Arabidopsis thaliana: one gene and its partner. The protein of the gene in region 2 interacts with the protein of the main gene of each other region in a pairwise test. Each region holds a gene or a part of one and is shown on either strand. Other genes may lie near its edges.

Region 1 (9,456 bases), on a different chromosome or scaffold from region 2:
GGGTGCATGGTCAATGATGTTTGATTGATTACGCCAGTGACAAAGACAATGGAGTCGAGGAAAGCTCTGGAAATGCTGAGAGAAAACAGCAACATGTTTGATCTGGTGATAAGCGATGTAGAGATGCCAGACACGGATGGTTTTAAGTTGCTTGAAATTGGTCTTGAAATGGACCTTCCTGTCATCAGTACGTCTCCTACCATTGTTTTTCATATCAACTCTAGCCCTTATTGTAACCTGCTTCATTGTCTCAGTGTTGTCAGCTCATAGCGACTATGACAGCGTTATGAAAGGTATTATACATGGCGCTTGCGATTATCTGGTCAAGCCTGTTGGACTCAAGGAGCTTCAGAATATATGGCATCATGTTGTGAAGAAGAACATTAAATCTTACGCAAAACTGCTCCCACCTTCTGAATCTGATTCCGTCCCAAGCGCCAGCAGGAAACGGAAAGACAAAGTCAATGACAGTGGTGATGAAGATGACAGTGACAGAGAAGAGGATGATGGTGAGGGGAGTGAACAGGATGGTGACGGGTCAGGTACGCGGAAGAAGCCACGTGTTGTTTGGTCTCAGGAGCTTCACCAGAAGTTTGTCAGTGCCGTTCAGCAATTGGGCCTCGACAGTGAGTTTCCCCATAGACCTCTTTAAACCTTTCCTTATGTGTGATGTCCACTCTTGTTTCTCCTATAGAGTTATTTTGATGCTTTCATGTGTGGGATCCTCTTTTCATTTCTCCTTGTGTTCATCACAGAGGCTGTTCCCAAAAAAATACTTGATCTCATGAGTATAGAAGGTCTCACTAGGGAAAACGTAGCCAGTCATTTGCAGGTACTAATTCCCCATTCTCTCTTGCATTTTTCCCCTTCTTTCGCAAATATAATCTTGGATGGTTAGACTTGTTTTATTCTCTGGTTTTGGTTGCAGAAGTACAGACTGTACTTGAAAAAGATAGACGAAGGTCAGCAGCAAAATATGACCCCAGATGCATTTGGAACAAGAGATTCATCTTACTTTCAGATGGCTCAACTTGATGGACTTAGAGATTTTACTGCCGCAAGACAAATTCCAAGCTCAGGACTCTTATCGCGTTCCCATCTCACCAAACTCCAACCCCCTATGTATTCATCGATAAATCTCCAAGGAATGAACTCCTCCAGCTTCATCCAACAGGGGCATCACCAGAACTCAAGCAATTCAGCTAATCCGTTTGGAACATATCACAGTACTCTGTCACCAAGAATCCAGAACGTGAATCTGTTTCAGCGAACTTCATCTCCACTAGAACCCCTCCAGTTTCCTAGAAGCAAGTCATACATTGGAGATTTTAAAGGCTTAGGGGACAGAGCTATTGGCGGTAGCTTCCTAGATACTTGTATGCCATTTGGTAGCTCTAGCACCTCTTTACCAAGTGCTTCCACCAATCCTCTAATGTTGCAAGCAAACTATACACAACCCCTGCATATAGCCTCAGATGGAATTCAGCCTTGCATCGAGGGAACTCCGTCCAACTCTGCCTCCCCAAACATCAGTTTCCAAGGCTTATCTAGATTTCCTGGTCATAGCTGGCAAGGGAATTTGAACACAACCAGATTCCCACCGAGTTCCTTACCACTAAATCTTGCTTTCTTGCCGGATCAAGTGACATGTGCAGGGAACAATCTGGGAGATTGTACTTCTTTGGTTTCTGCAGAGAATCCTGGTGGAGAGATGCAGTGTGATCCTCAATTACTTGGCGGCTTCATGCAGAACGTGAATCCGTTAGGCGGACAGAAATGGGAGCAACAGAACTGCACCATGCTGAACAATCCATTCGGTAACATTGAGTATCCTCTACCCGCAGATAACATGGTTTTCAGAGACAACAATTCAACCAGAAGCAAAGGCTTGGATGAGTCACTGATGAACCCAATAGACAACAGTCAAGAGTATGTTGGAAAAGCTACTACAATGCTGGATCCAGAGATGAAGTCGGGAAAGCCAGAGAATGACAACCAGCATGATGTATTCGATGACATAATGAATGAGATGATGAAACAGGTAACGCGGTTGTTTTCTTGATTGGATTAAAAGCTTTTGTAGTTTGTAGAAAATGAAAGTGAATGTGTTTGTTGCAGGAGGAGAATAACGGAATGGTGCCAGTGGCTACTAGATTTGGCTTTGATTCATTTCCTCCACCTTAGCTAGTCATCTCTTTCTCTACCAGTTGCATTAAGTTTCTCCACTTGAGACCATTTTCATGTGATTTTTTTAAATTTCTTCCCACATTGTTTCCTCCGACTGTCAATAGATCATAGTACACCAACCTGTTTCATACTCTCTTTTATGAATTGGAATTGAAAGCGAGCCTGTTACAAAAATTTATTTTATAAAGTTTCTGAATAAGTGTTGTTATTCAAAACCAATATACGAATAGTAATGGGCCTAATTGAGATCGTTGGTTTACATATGGAGCTATTTTGAAGTGTCAACAAGAAGAGATATTTAGATGTCGATAGGATAATTTGGTGGGGCCTAGAAACGGCTAGAGGAAGTCAAATCAAAATGTGACTGTATGGCCCATTGTATTGTATCCTTCTTCCCACAGAACAAGGAAGACATTTGTGTCCTCCACCTTTATTCACATTTGTAACTGCTAGACGCTACTAGAACCCTTGCCCTACACGCTTTCCACGTGGCATCCTCTCGTCCCAGCGAAATCTCCTTGATATTATTTTTTTATTTCCTTATAAAGAACAGAATCTCTTCTTATCCTTTTACCTCAAAGAAAACATCGAAATCTTAGAGAAGAAGAAAAGAAAAAGAAGAGAAATGACAGAGAAGAAAGAGATGGAAGTGGTGAAAGGGCTCAACGTGGAGAGATACATGGGCCGTTGGTACGAGATTGCTTCTTTCCCATCAAGGTTTCAGCCAAAGAACGGCGTCGACACTCGCGCCACCTACACCCTTAACCCCGACGGTACCATACACGTCTTGAACGAAACGTGGAGCAACGGGAAGAGGGGTTTTATCGAAGGCAGCGCCTATAAGGCCGATCCTAAAAGCGACGAAGCCAAGCTCAAAGTCAAGTTCTATGTCCCTCCTTTCCTCCCAATCATTCCCGTCACCGGAGACTACTGGGTGCTCTACATCGATCCTGACTACCAGCACGCTCTCATTGGCCAGCCTTCCAGGAGTTATCTCTGGGTTGGTACTCTTTTTTTTTTCTCTTTAACGAATAATCGAAATTGATCCCAAAAATGATTGACTCTGTATATGTGGGTGGTGTAGATATTGAGCAGGACGGCGCAAATGGAGGAAGAGACGTATAAGCAGCTGGTGGAGAAGGCAGTGGAGGAAGGTTATGACATCAGCAAGCTTCACAAGACTCCTCAGAGTGACACACCACCTGAGTCCAACACTGCCCCTGAAGACTCCAAGGGCGTTTGGTGGTTCAAATCTCTCTTCGGCAAATAGATTACACGGCACACAAAGACTTTGTTTCACCTCTTTGATCCTTTTGTCTGTGTAATATACTACCCCCTTTGTCTACTCTAGTTATCTTCCATCATCTGCTTTTGTCTATTTACGACATCTTCATCTAGTTATGCAAAGTCGTCTCTTTTACCATAAGGAAGCGCACACAAATTCAATCAGATCAAATCTGGGAAAGACAATTCAAATCTTGCAGAAGTTGACATTATGTATTTGGATAAACACACCACACGACTCGAGACTTATGGAATCAAAATAATGCATGCAAACTACAGACGGAATTATATGTATAGATAAGACGATAGAAAAAACAGTCTCCCCCCAGCAAAAGTTTGGTTGACTATATACCCAGCAGGACTTCCAGCTCACAGAATAGTACAGCATGAATTTGTTTTCTTCGCTTGCTTGTAAAACATCTGTTCCAACCAATACAACCAAATCAGATTTTCATGTTGGAAGTAAACATGGTTTACCTAATCTAAATAACGAAGAATATCTTGAGATTCCAGAGGATATGACTAATACATATGTTCCTCCCCATGGTCAGATGATATAGCAAAAAACACTATGATTCTTCGTAGCAAACCTAATAATTCCAAAATCCAACTGTATAGTTCAAACTGCACTCAAATGTCTGCAGGCTGAAGCAGAAAGCTTTTTCAAAGAAGGTATTCTAAATCCACATTCTTCCTCTATTTATCTACCCCAACAATAACATGCAATAGTTCCTCTATCAATCAACAACACTTATAAGCCTGCTAAATCAACAACCCTTTCTAACGTGTTCACCAACTATGCTCAGAGATCGAGACAGGGAAAAAAGGAAACTAAATCTATAAGAATTTCTAGAATGTGACTTTAGAATGTTACCTGTGATGCCATGCTCAAATCTGAGCTCTTCTCCACTAGGCTGTCCAGCTTCTCACCACGGGCTAGAACACTATCAATGGTTTTATGCTACAATACAGAACAAAAAATCAGTCTTACGGAGACAGGGACATCCATCATAACTACCAAGACTTTCTTCTTGTTTTGGTGTTTTTCAGAAGAAAGTAAACTCACCGACAGAACAGCATTTATGTATAATTGGCAAGTATACTGAAACTTAGAAAAGGAAGTACCGCTTATGTATAAGGGTCTACAAGAAAGGACCGGAGACAGCACTTACAAGGATAATCTTTGTCTCATCCAACTCCCTCTGGATTTTCAACAGCTTATCAGCCTCTGCTGGGTCCTGAAGATTACAAATACGGGACAATCCCAAAATCAATTTAAGATCAAATCACTCAAAATCCAACATGGTCATAAAACAATGGGGGCTACTAAAATTAATTCATGAAGAATGAATCATTCGATTGGATTCTAATGTCCACCTAACTGAGCTTAATATAACTACAGTTTTAACAAAATTCACAGTAAAAGAGCGAATACAGTTGCACAAGTGAAGAACCTGAAATTTGTTTAAAGCTTCGGTTAAGTATGGCCAAGGCTGATTGGAGTCTTCTTTTGCAGACCTCCATGACTCACCAAAACTCTTCTGGTACTCATCTAGGACCTGAGACAAAATTAAATGTCAAGCAACCCAAATTACAGGAAAACTTACGAATGATGCATTGAGAACCACTTTCAACATAATGATATTACCTGATTGAGAAGAGAGAAAGCACTTCGAACAGGGTAATGATCGTCCATGAAACCCACCGCGCAAAGGCCATTTCTATTGTAAGCGTGAACCTTGTACTCTAAACCAAAAACAAAATAAAAACACGAACCCTAATTATCCCAAATTCGAGGACTAGAACAATAAGATAGAATCGCAAGAAATTAAAGCCGGGGCATAGTCCAGGAAGATCTAGAATCAGAAACGGTGCACATCCTAAATCATAAAAGTTTCAAAATCGAAAAGCCGATCCGAATTTAGAAATCGAATAAAAATCAAAGAGGAAAGGAGATTGCATTAGATCCGGGAGAAAGAAGATTTGAAAACAATCGATCTAGAGAGGTAGAAGAAGAAGGAGAAGAACCTTCGTGTTGAACAGACTGGCGTTGGGAAGGAGGGGTTCGGCTAGCGACAGTGCGACCGACAAAGACGACGAACTCCTTGACGCTAGATCGCTGGAAATAACCGAAGTGAGAGACGTCCGAAGCGTTGGAGAGGATGACGGGATCAGAAGCTTCGGGAGCGCACTTGAGAACGAGCAAGGCGGTGATCTTCATAGCTGCGGTGGATCCAAGGTTGCGTGAGAAGGAAGCGAGGAGGAGGAAGAGAAGAGGCTTTGGACCTGGATTCCTTACTCGGAGATGCTAAAGGCAAAACAAGTTTTGAGGTGTCGAACCAAACGCAGACGCCTTCTCATTAACATTGAATAATGAATATATACCCTCTTTTTCTTATTCGCTATGTTGAAGTAAAAATTAAAAACCTTTGGTTCAATTCAATTTTATGTGGGCAGTCTCGGTTCGGTTTAGCATATATTGATGCAGAATTGGACCGGAATCAAAGATTTTTCCATCACATAGAATTGGATTTTTAAGAATTTTAAGTCTAGGCAAAAACTGAAACCAAAGAATATTTTAATTTTTGCCAATCGAGTTTTCTTATTAACGGAATATTGGTTTGGTTTAGATCGGACAACTTGGTTTGGTCCGAATGCCAAACTCTAATATTGTCATTTTAACTACATACATGTATGACAAATGAATATAGTACAAAGTCCAAAACTGAGGGGTGTTACACCCATTTGTGCAAAGAAGATGTAAGAAAGCATCAAAAAAAGAAAAAGCGGTTAAGAAGGGAATGGTGGAGAAGAAGAGATAAAAATAGAAAGGAGTAAATGGCCATAAATGGAGGATATGAGAGCAAGTTACTTTTTTTTACCATTAATTAACCTTGTTTGACCCATCTCCTCTTTCTCTTCTTTTTCCTTTCCTCTAACTAAACGAGGAAAACAAGCAGGAGAGGGGATTCATGTTCTTTTCTCGCTGTAAGATCTCTCTTTCACAATTTTCTTAAATGTGACAATTCTGTTTTTGTTACATGTATCCTGACTTTGCTTTTCCATTGGGGTACGTACGTTACACACAAATGCAGGATCAATCAGATAGAGATGCTGAGGTTTTTCATTCTTTTCTCCCTTTTCTTACACTCTTCTGTTGCGGCACCCAAGACTCCTGCTGCTGCCGCAGCTGTTCCTGCCAAGAAATGGCTTACCCTTAACGGTAAGCATCCTTTTACAGAGTATGCCCATATTGCATACTACCATGTTTTTTTTTTTGTTGTTGTTTAATGTTAAGACTTAAGATACCATGTTGTTTGTTTGTTTCTAAGAATCCGTACCTGTCTTTTGTCTTCCAGGACAAGAGCCTGCCGTTGTGGCCAGAGGGGGCTTCTCGGGTCTTTTCCCTGAGTCAAGCATCTCTGCAAACGACTTGGCTATTGGCACCAGCTCGCCTGGCTTCACAATGTTGTGCAACCTTCAGATGACTAAGGACGGTGTGGGCCTTTGCTTGTCAGATATCAGACTTGACAATGCAACCACCATCTCCTCGGTCTTCCCCAAAGCCCAGAAGACCTACAAGGTCAACGGTCAGGACCTCAAGGGCTGGTTTGTCATTGATTACGATGCCGACACCATATTCAACAAAGTCACTCGTATGTCTTCTTCTCTTTCATTTCCTCCCTTCAATGCTCACCACCACCACCACACATTTTCATGTTTTGTATTATTGAGCAGTGGTCCAGAACATCTTCTCTCGGCCTAGCATCTTCGACGGCCAAATGTCGGTTTCTGCAGTGGAGGATGTCCTTGGAACCAAGCCTCCCAAGTTCTGGTTGAGCGTTCAGGTATGTTTTCTTCTCTTTGAGAACATGATTAACCAACATATGGAGCTTTTTTGTTGATTCATCAAAACAACAAACAATGCAAATGTGCAGTACGATGCCTTCTACATGGAACACAAGCTGAGCCCAGCCGAGTACCTGAGAAGCTTGCGATTCCGCGGCATTAATGTCATCTCATCTCCAGAGATTGGTTTCTTGAAGAGCATCGGGATGGACGCGGGCAGGGCCAAGACAAAGCTCATATTTGAGTTCAAAGACCCCGAGGCAGTTGAGCCCACCACCAACAAGAAGTACAGCGAGATTCAGCAGAACCTCGCAGCCATCAAGGCCTTTGCTTCAGGCGTTCTTGTGCCCAAAGACTACATTTGGCCCATTGACTCAGCTAAGTACCTTAAGCCCGCCACCACTTTTGTGGCTGATGCTCACAAAGCCGGTCTAGAGGTCTATGCTTCAGGGTTTGCCAACGACTTGCGCACCAGCTTTAACTACAGCTATGATCCCTCTGCTGAGTATCTCCAGTTTGTGGACAATGGCCAGTTCTCTGTTGATGGTGTCATCACCGATTTCCCGCCAACAGCATCACAATCAATCAGTGAGATGACTTGCTATATATGTTTCCTCAGATAGCTGATTATTAAGAAGAAGCTAAAGCGTCTGTTTTCTTGCAGCTTGCTTTTCTCACCAAAACGGCAATCTCCCCAAAGCAGGGCATGCATTGGTTATAACTCACAATGGAGCAAGCGGAGACTATCCAGGCTGCACTGATCTGGCTTACCAGAAAGCAATCGACGATGGAGCAGACATAATTGACTGCTCTGTTCAGATGTCCAAAGACGGAATCGCTTTCTGCCATGATGCTGCAGACCTCTCAGCAAGTACCACCGCCAGGACTACTTTCATGTCCCGAGCCACCAGCGTTCCTGAGATCCAGCCTACCAACGGAATCTTCTCTTTTGATCTTACATGGGCCGAGATCCAGTCTGTGAAGCGTAAGAAACTGATTTCTTTTCTATAGATTTCTTAAACTAATCTTATTCTCAACTAAGTCACTGAGCATTGGGATATCTTTGTCTTCAGCACAAATAGAAAACCCCTTCACTGCCACGGGCTTCCAGAGAAACCCCGCAAACAAGAACGCCGGGAAGTTCACGACTCTTGCGGACTTCCTTGAGCTCGGCAAAGCAAAGGCAGTCACCGGAGTTTTAATCAACATTCAGGCAAGCCATTTAACTTCCAAATGCTCCTTGACTAACACAAGGAAGCTCCACTAACACTGTTTTTGTTGACAGAATGCTGCTTATTTAGCCTCGAAGAAAGGCTTAGGAGTCGTAGACGTAGTCAAGTCTGCTCTTACAAATTCCACACTCGACAAGCAATCAACCCAGAAGGTTTTGATTCAGTCGGATGACAGTTCAGTTCTATCTAGTTTCGAGGCTGTCCCTCCTTACACAAGAGTCTTGAGTATCGACAAGGAGATCGGAGATGCTCCTAAGACATCCATCGAAGAAATCAAGAAGCATGCAGATGCTGTCAATCTCTTGAGAACTTCCCTCATCACCGTCTCCCAAAGCTTTGCCACGGGGAAAACTAATGTGGTAGAGGAAATGCACAAAGCGAATATCTCTGTATACGTCTCGGTGCTAAGAAATGAGTACATCGCCATAGCGTTCGACTACTTCTCTGATCCTACGATAGAGCTTGCAACATTCATTGCAGGGAGAGGCGTTGATGGAGTCATCACGGAGTTCCCTGCCACCGCTACCAGATACCTAAGTAAGTTTAAACTTCTACAAAAAAACAAAAAACAAAAACATTACCAAGATAAGGCTGATCAATTATATTTGATGCAAATGCAGGGAGTCCATGTTCAGATTTGAACAAAGACCAGCCCTATGCCATCTTACCTGCAGATGCTGGAGCTCTACTCACCGTGGCAGACAAGGAAGCACAACTACCAGCTATTCCCCCAAACCCACCTCTTGATGCCAAAGACGTGATTGATCCGCCTCTGCCTCCAGTTGCAAAGTTGGCCTCCAATGGAACTGAAGGTGGTCCGCCACAAACTCCTCCTCGTTCAGGCACCGTTGCCATTGCTGCTAATCTCAGCCTTTCCTTGCTGGCAATGATGGCTTTGGGACTC
Region 2 (9,456 bases):
TGATAAACATGCATAAATTTTGGGTTATTTTTGTGTGCTGCCTTTTTTATGGGGCCAAAAAGTAGGACATGAAAAGTTCTCACCTTCATTTTCTTCCCCACTCTATACGTGGCATATATAGTGGACGGGCTTGATAACACGCGCTACGACTAAACGGCGCGTGGAAGAAGACGACGTTATTGAAGGAGTCTTAGTCAGCGAAGACTATGTGTTACCGGAAACCGGAAACACTCAGTCACCGGCCGGTCGTTTGGTGTGAAGAATGCAGTAAGAGGCAGTCAAAGATTCAAAGGGAAAAAAGTTTACGAAAACAAAAGATTATATTTTGGGAGTATTAGGCTGCCACGTGGAAACACTTGCACCGGCATTTGACCGTCGCCGACACATGACCTGGCACGTGCTAGAGACTGTCTTCTCTTCTTCTTCTTCTTTTTCCCTCACTGTTTCACGAACCTTAATAATTATTCATAGGTAATTCCTAGTCAAGAAGCAATAATTTAGACCCTACATATTTTGGTTATAAAATATGAATATATGAATCTCTTGATATTCAAATTATTTTCATGTTTTTAGTGTAAGATTTGACCCAAAGAATCATACATTGCTAATAATTTGCTATAACATTCAAAGAAAATTAGTTACTATGGGACTTTAAGTGACGTAGCTATGTGGAGTGGATCGTTACTTATGCTGACGGATAAGTGAGATCATGATTACGCAATAACAATTTCTTTTTCACATTAGAACTTTCTGTTTGCAAGTAAAAGAGCATCTTAATTTATTAACTTATATTAAGGAAAAGATGGTCAAACCAAAAGTATCTATATTATGAAAATGTTAACATTATGATAATTACGATAAACCCTTTATATACAATTTTATTTGCGATAATTGTGGGGAATTAAAGTTGCATGTTATGAACCCTATGCTTGATTTATATAGCTAGTAATCGTTTTCATGAGTTTGTAGAAATTGATAGGAGCATATGATCAGGAAAAAAGGAGACATATAATGCCTAACCGACATGACAAATGCGAAGGGGACATACATCAACTTTAAATGTGGTCAAAGTGATATATTTACTACTATGAAAAATCACTAAAATATGGCAAGATAAAAACAAATACTAGCATCTTGGAAGAAATCGGTTTAATCACTAAAAATTTGATATGTCATGGTCTTTTGGTCACAATCCATTTTTTTGGTAGGTGAAGGATTCAACTCTTTTTTTTTTTTTGGTCACACCTAAGTTTTTGGATTACAAATTATCGTGAATTACGTATGATGATCTTAATGCGTTTAATAATCACTGCTATATTACCTAGCATATTACGGATAGCGCGAGAATACATACATATATATAGTCAGTGTCTCAGTGATACTCAGTATAAAATATTGGAATGAATCAAAATACTATGGCTTTGGTATATAAAAATTTGATCAATGAAAGAAGGGCATAATAATTTCCATGTTTTTAACGCTTTTTGGTCAAAACAAACTACGATGAAAAACGTTTTCGAGAAAATCAATACCAATCTAGTAATCTTTGGTCGAAATAATTAAGAAGACCGAATAATTCTCTTTGAACCAAAAGAGACATTAACCATTCACATTTGACCAAGAACATCAAGGCGTATACATACTTTAATTTGGGAAAGAGAAACAGCAACTCTTATCAGATTCCATATGAGTAATAGAATAATCTCTAAACCAAAAAAAATTCAATCTTCGAAGTCAAATATATATTCAATCTTCTATTGCATACTATAATAATGCCATAATGGTGGTATATGAATCTGTTTCTCGTACCTAACCACATTAATGCATACTAAGATATATATTAATACACATTTATAGTTTTAATTTAGGCAGAAACTAAACGCCGTAATTGGTGCCTAATCGTTTGCGTTGTCTTATCCATAAGCCCCACATTTAAATTACCCAAAGTTAGACCGTGGACCTCTATGTAATTTGTAACCTGTAAGTGAAAAAAAAACATTAGCTTACAATTACACGTATACATAACTGTATCTGTCTGCAGTTGAAATGTCTGACCTATTTTTGGGGATTTGTGCCTAACATATAAAGATATTATTATGAAATTTATTTCTACTTTCTAGTAAACACATAATTATTACATTATTTAAGTTTCAATTTAACGTAAAGAAGAATAAAAAGAAAGAGAGTGAAATTGTTGACTTTAGCTTTGGAATAGAATAGTTGGGGCAGGTTTGTTGTTAGGTTTGTCATGTGTGACATTTTTATCATTATTATTCATGTTAGTATATATAAAATATATATGAATAAAAAGGAATCTCTTGTATTTTCTGTTCTTTCACACACGTTATCCTCTTTCTGAAATTTGAGTTGTTACAGCTGATTAATTTAATATATATGATATTTGTGTATAGATTATCAAGAATAAGAAAATGCATTTAAAAACAAATAACCGAAAAGACTAAATTTTTCATTAATTGGTATTGATATTAGGACATCAATATGTTGAGTAACTATACATGGTCGATTACATTACAATGCGAATTGAAATTCTCTTTAACTGGAAAAGAACTAATATGAAAAAGCTGATGATGTATCAGTAAAACTCTTTTAAAACTGTTGATAAGAAATTCGAATTTACATATTTTAGATTGGAACTTGAAAGTTACAGTTTTATTTGCATACTGGACCAACAAATTTGGATCAAACCTTATCCAACCAAATTTATATACCTTGAGGCTTGAGCCCATATATCTGCAAAAATTACAGGGGGTCATCAAAATCTCATCGTACCAGAGTAAACCGATCACATAACCATTTGGCAACACATCAAACCGGTTAAGATAAAATCCCACAATTCCTCTTCATAATCTTGGGTGAGAAAGGAGAGGATAACTTTTGGTGATGTGAATCAGTGAATCCTGCTTAACCAATTATGCAAGACAAGACCAAAGACATAATATCGGTCCAAACCAGTTTACATAAACTGGAGACTGGACTCCTCATCATCACCATTAGCATCATTAGGATCGTTGATCCGTTGTAATTAGTAACTGTAATTCTAAGCTAAAACAAAAAGTTGCAGAGGATTGATCAATCGCCACTGCCACCTTCCAAGAGATCTAAAAGAGTGATCTTTCCGTTGCTGCATCGGTCGAGTTTGTCAAACTGTTTGGAGATTGGTAGTATGTCCTTATCGGTTATTTTCTCCATCTCCTTCAGTTTGTATATCACATACTCTGCTTTACTGCAAAAACAAAGAAAAAAACCAGAAGATATCTCAGGTTTGAGTGAGTATACAAGCAAAGCATTTCTCTGTGTTAAATCCGAAAATGCGTCTAAGCCTCCCTTTCATGGTCATTCAAACTTTATATCAAGCCGAAAACATACAATGACACGATGCTTTCGCATCACACATTCACAGATCTTCAACTTAGCCTAAGACCACAAACTATGTTCTTGAACAAAAAGATTCATAAGAAGAAGTGCAGAATATGAATTAACTTAGAAATCCAACACCTTCAAGAATCTAATTAGCTAATGAGCTATGAATGTTTTTGTTTTCAAAGATCCTCTACACAAACGAAAATTAAAAGACTAATAATAAATAGCAAAGACAAAATCTTTTGGATGACTTCTAAGAAATGCATAAACATTACGGATGTCACAATGGATATTTTAACAAACATAAGCATCACACAGTTAATTCAGATATCAGTTTAAGATTCTTAAAACCTTAAGGAGTGTGTCAGAGCATATAATATGGATAAGGAATGAGTCAAATTACCTCACACAGCCATTGTTATCAATATCTGCAGCGAAAAACTGAGAGACAGACATTGTTTCACAAAGCACTTTCTTCGCCCGTTCTCTATTCCTCTTATCCACTCTCGCCTCAGCCAAGTACAAAAAAGCTCGAGCCACAGCTAATGTAGACACAAGCAGCCATATCGCAGCGAAAAGCCTACCGGGCAATGTCTTAAAAGCCCGATCTCCATACCCGACAGTAGTAACCGACATAACCGAGAGATAAAACGAATCCAACCACCCGATTTCCTCAATGAAATGCATAATCCCAACACCAACAGCAATGCATAAAACCACAACACCTAATGCCAAAGCCACTTTCAACCTAATTCTCATTCTCCCTTTCTTGACATCGATTATATAAGATCTCCTCTTCTCAGGCTCATCTCTCCGCTTAGCAGAGTCTAACATATAGCTCTCTTGAAGGTCAAGAACATAAGAGACCATCCCACTAAGCAAAATATCAATGAAACCAAACCCAACAAGCACAAACATAATCGAAAACAGCTTAGTAACCACACTGTTTGGAGTGATGTCTCCATAACCAATGGTGCACATTGTAACGATACAAAAATACAATCCATCAACTACAGGATGGGTTTGATTCACAACGTAGTGATCACGATTCAGCCAATAGATAAGCACACCTAGAGAGAGATACACAACGAGAAGAGCAAAAGCTTGTCTTACTACAGATCGTGACGTCTCTGTAGGATCTTTTTGACGAATTGGGTGATGAAGATCATTGATTACAGCCATTGCTGGTGCTGTTTTGGATCGGTGAAGAGCGTGGCCTTGACAGTGACTCGAAGTTTGATCGGACAACCATGGCTCTGGTTGTGGTGGTGGTGGTGGAAGCAGAGGATCTAGGGTTGAGGAATCGGAGAAAGGATTATTAACGGCGGTTGAAGAAGACGACGGTGACGGTTGTTTCATGGAATCGATGAAGTGAGACGAATCTCGCGGCGAACATGAAAAGGGTCCGAAGATTAAACGCTCTTTGAACTCCGACGGTGTCATCGGCATCGGAATCGCAACTTCGTTGTCTTCTGGTAATGGAAACAGCAGCTGTGGAGGTTTTTTCAATCTCGGGCTAATCATGTATTGAAGTAAAGGGTCACTTCCTTCGTTGGCCATCTCGCCGGAAAACTGGAAATGGTTTTCCGATTGAAGTTAACTGAATTATCGGAAAAAGATCGTTTTTTTTTTTTGGTTTGATCTAAAGACTGAAACTTGAAGGGATTGAAGCGAAGGAGAAAGAGGTAAGAGGAGGAACGTGAAACGTGGGAAAAAGGAAGAAACTTTATCTCTCTCTCTCTCTCTCTCTCGCAAAGGATTGAAGTAAGAAGAAGCAGAAATGGCGCTTTCTTAAGTTTTTCTTGTGGCTATTAACATTTTTTAGAGAGAAATCAAAGGTTATATACTGATATTCATTTAATAATGATTTGATGCGGTTTGCACAAAAAACAAGAAACATTTACATATGATACTATAAGAACCTATATAACATGCTATTTTTTAAAATTAATATGGCATCTTTTTTTTATAATAATTAATAATATGGCATCTTCTTCAATAATAATATATCCAGACCGATTTTGTTATTCTATTTCAGATTACTAGATTGCACACATTACACATGCTGCTAATAATTGAATTGGTTTTCTTGTAACTATTTGTGGAAAAATACTCTTTATTAAGTCTAAGATTGAGTTTGGCTCCTTTCATATTTTCTCTAAAATTTTATCTAAAACTAACATTTATATGAATTGTGTTCCGAATAATAAATCTAATTGACATTATAGATCAGATAAATAAGTTCCGAATGGAGATATACGGTTTAACTACATATCAAATGCGATGTAGTTTTCATTGTATTATTATATTGTAACTGAGCAAAATAAAAAGAAGCAATTGATTGTGGCCCTAAAATTCTAGCAATTTCAGAAAATTTTGTTACTACTCTTTCCGTAATGATGTTTTAAACTTTTATTTTTGTTTTTAAAGGAATGATGTTTTAAATTTTCAATGGAAAATTATTTGTATTTTTATTGATTTTAATGATTTTTTTTTGCAGATTATTTTTCTACTGGTTGATTAAATAATAGATGATATTTTAGTTTTAAAATAGATAAAAGTTAAATAATTTTTTTATGCATGTGTATTCTCCTAAAACATCAACTAAATAAAAATGGAGGGAGTATTAAAATTGTACTGCAACGTGCGGTTTCGTCACCATTGGGAACCGTAATTTTAAAATGGAGGGGTCGAAGTTGTAAGTTTGAATTCCAGTAAACACTTCGACCGAATTAAAGTGTCAACTATGTTTGACAAAAAGGTACAGCGTCTCTCTCATATTAAAATTTTTAAACACAGAGATGACTTGAATTTTTGGAGCTGAAAACAAATAAAACGGCAAAATGTGTCGTTTTGTTAACAAATCTCACATGACGTGGTTTTCCAGAGTTAGATAAGTACACATCTCTCTATTAACTATACTATCCAATTAAATATTGTGTAGTAGACTAGTACCAAACAAAGAACACATGATTTGATTAGCTTTCTTCATTATACACAACTTATTTAATAGTAGATAAATTAGCATAATCACACCGTCAAAATGTGTAAATAGTAATTGAATTTCTCTGTTTTCAAATTTTTCTTCTCTTTCCATACTATTTAATATGACGCAGGTTAGTCAGGACATGCTAAGCTTAATAATCTTTACTATGAAGTTTGGTCTGATATAGAATGTCAAGACTAAATAGTTAAAAAGTAAAATGATAAGAAACAGACAAGAAAGAAAAATAGAGTTCTTTTTAGTAATATAAGAAGGTTAGCAAGTAAACAAGTTAACCCATTGAAGGTTCTCTCACAAAACCCTCTCATAAGACCCTACCCTGAACCTTAAACACACACACAACACAACGCCATTTTCAAACAACGGAATCATCCCATCGCTGCTCTGGAATGAGAGATGAAAATAAGGGGGAAAGAAGGATTTGAATGGATTGCTTTTCATCAGTAGTTGTTGGGCCATAACTATTGTTGGGACTGTTTCGACGCGTCTCTAGCGTTTTGCTGTTGTTGGTATTGGTGATGAAGATGTTCTAGTGACATTACAGCTTGTGAATGGTAAGGACTCACATACCCATGTCCTCCATAATGTTGTTGTTGTTGTTGTTGTTGAGACGACTGCTGCTGATGTTGCAGTTGTTGGGCTTGACGGAAACCGGGAGGCTGCTGATTCTGATGACCAGGGTAGCTGTAATATCCGCTTCCTGGAACCACTCGCGAGTTGGCTTGTTGTCCTTGATGCCATGCTGTTGTTTTTTCGTTCTGTAGATCAAAGCAAAACAAAGAAAGCTACTCGTTAAGGTTTGCGAAAAAGAGAACGCACAAATAACAGAAACCAAACTGCACCGATTTTCTTAAAATCCAACAGTTCAAAACTGAGCCAAACCCATCCAAAATCGAACAAAAATAAATAAAATCGAATACTCCAGTATAAATTCCAGCTGACTAAACAGAGGAAGGAAACCAAACAGAACCAAAACACACCAACATGATTATAAAACCTGAGAAGAATTTCATGGTTTACCTGCTGCTGAAGAGATGATGCCAAGTGGTTGCTCTCATTAAACTGTGAGCTCAAGACATCTTCGTAGGAGTTTGCAGCACTTGTGGGATTCAAAGGGAAGTTATTACTTGAGACAGCGCCTCCACCGAACCCATAGGCAGAGGGAGGAGGAACAGGAGGAGCGGTTGTTTGAGTCTTGTATTGCATAAGCATATCAACTAAAGACTGATGATTACCAGTAGGAAACACTTGTTGAAAAGCTGAAAGCATGAAAGGGTTGTAACACTGTGCCATGAATGGGTAGCTTATCAAATTGCCATAATGTCCTAAAGGCATCTCAGGCTGATGAGAGTAGGGATTTAAGGCAAGATGTTGTGCAAGAGTTGCTGCTTGCTGTCCTGCACTGGGTATTGCGTTTTGAGGTGAAATACTCGCAGCTCTTAGTGCCTGCAATCAAATTTGTGTAAGCAATGGTATTGAAGGAAAGCTTAGAATAAGATCATATGAAAGAGAAACGGGGATTTGGTTACCTCGGCCATGGAAATTTCAGTGTTGTATAGTGTTGTGAAAGGCGAGTAGTGAAGATTAGATTCTCTTCCATCTTGAATGCCTGATGGGAGTAGAGTGTTGGGTAACGAACTTGTATATCCTTGCTGCTGCACATTAAGAAAAAAAAAATAGTAGATATGGTTAAAATCTTTTCAGTGATCCTTTTCGATTGTGTGATAGATTTTTAAATCTGAATAGTGTTTGATGTTTACCATTATGTTGGGGTAGGTATCGAGATTCTGCCTCTGAGGATTTGTTTCTGATGGAGGATGGAACAGTTGGTTGTTTTCAAATCTGTAACCTTCGGAAGACGAAAACTTGTATTGATGACTTCTTGAGGCGGTTCATGTTGCACTGCGTCTGTCTTAGAATCTGTGGCAGAATTATAATTTTGGGTACTTGAATCGATTTGATAAGACACTTGTTCATTTGTAACAGCATTTCTCGGCTGTTCTGCTTCTTCTTCTCCATAGAAGTTAGTGTCGGGATGTCTGAATGATGAATCATCCTCTGCTACTAGTGGTTCTTCCAAGTTATCATTCAAGGCACTAGGTTGACCAGATCCTATCCCAGAAGAAAAACAACCGAACATTAAGTGCAAGCATTCCGAGGTATGGACTTGCAGGTGATTGGGGATTATCACCGCATGTTTTTCTTCCTTTGGTAATGCTTCCTGCTCTTCTTCATTGTAAATAGTTAGTTGCTGAAAACCAGTAGCAACAGAAGTAGAAACATCTTCATCTGAAAATAATGGAAAAAGCAAACATTAGAAAACATGACAAAGAGGAAGAAAGAGATAAAAAGAAGACTCACACAGAGAATATGGATATCTCACCTTGATTTTCCTCATAAGAATGTCTTTCAGCTTTGTTATTTTCATCGTCACATACTAAGGAATCTCTAGATTCATCGTCAACCAAATTTCTGCTTGATACTGAAGCTAGCGGATTGTGATCCACATCAGGAGGAGACCCAGTTGGATAAGTTTTTGTTTCGCGGTGGATGTCATCCAAAAGAGTCTCATCCAAATGTTGAGACTCACTAAATTGGTCGGAAGAAATCTTAGATTCAGCAGATGGTTTCAAGACAGAGGATGATAGATAAGAAACGTCTTGCTTCTCAATTGAAGGGCATTCATCCTTCAAAGGGGCTTTACTGCTGCTCTCTTGAGCCTCTGATGAACGAGGCAAAGCGACATTCTTCTGCAGGTTAGGTCTACCCATTTTCACAATTTCAGCCATAGTTCTTTGCCCAGGGTTAGCGCTAGCCCAAGCTGATTGATACGCAGGAAAAGGCAACGAAGACAAAGTAACTGCATCACTGGGGGTCGTTGGTGCTTTCTTGACTTTAGAGCTTGGAAGATCACTGCAATGCAAAGGAGATACTAAGATAACACAAAATATTGGACATTGTTACGAAAATTAGATACCAAAAGACCACATGAAGGTAAGAACCTGTTTGATGGTGGTTGGCGTCTAAGCAAACCAGGTAGGCGTCCAAGCAAACCAGATGATGCAGAAGAT

Evidence for each region.
Region 1: the proteins of KCO6 (region 2) and YKT61 interact in a protein complementation assay, tested with the Arabidopsis thaliana proteins (one large-scale study listed by BioGRID).

The regions. Positions count from the first base shown.
Region 1 is NC_003076.8:23,494,513-23,503,968, reverse strand, and holds YKT61 (SNARE-like superfamily protein), read right to left. Parts: upstream 5,831-9,456; 5' UTR 5,693-5,830; coding exon 5,500-5,692; intron 5,352-5,499; coding exon 5,278-5,351; intron 5,218-5,277; coding exon of another isoform or gene 5,210-5,217; coding exon 5,120-5,209; intron 5,031-5,119; coding exon 4,926-5,030; intron 4,710-4,925; coding exon 4,644-4,709; intron 4,433-4,643; coding exon 4,346-4,432; intron 3,909-4,345; exon of another isoform or gene 3,892-3,908; coding exon 3,841-3,891; 3' UTR 3,585-3,840; downstream 1-3,584. Other genes in the region: RR18 (response regulator 18), read left to right, coding at 38-187, 255-626, 756-832, 929-2,041, 2,119-2,184; TIL (temperature-induced lipocalin), read left to right, coding at 2,813-3,187, 3,272-3,457; SVL4 (SHV3-like 4), read left to right, coding at 6,583-6,694, 6,831-7,127, 7,210-7,319, 7,410-7,908, 7,985-8,305, 8,394-8,533, 8,606-9,089, 9,173-9,456. UniProt on the Arabidopsis thaliana protein: May be involved in the secretory pathway. Essential for membrane fusion mediated by either SYP41 or SYP61; triggers the fusion of phospholipid vesicles containing SYP41 or SYP61 and VTI12.
Region 2 is NC_003075.7:10,051,181-10,060,636, reverse strand, and holds KCO6 (Ca2+ activated outward rectifying K+ channel 6), read right to left. Parts: upstream 5,259-9,456; 5' UTR 4,942-5,258; coding exon 3,785-4,941; intron 3,245-3,784; coding exon 3,091-3,244; 3' UTR 2,452-3,090; downstream 1-2,451. Other genes in the region: AT4G18150 (Serine/Threonine-kinase, putative (DUF1296)), read right to left, coding at 6,847-7,143, 7,406-7,831, 7,915-8,040, 8,146-8,234, 8,333-8,674, 8,769-9,298, 9,388-9,456. UniProt on the Arabidopsis thaliana protein: Two-pore potassium channel modulating the proton motive force (pmf) necessary to convert photochemical energy into physiological functions.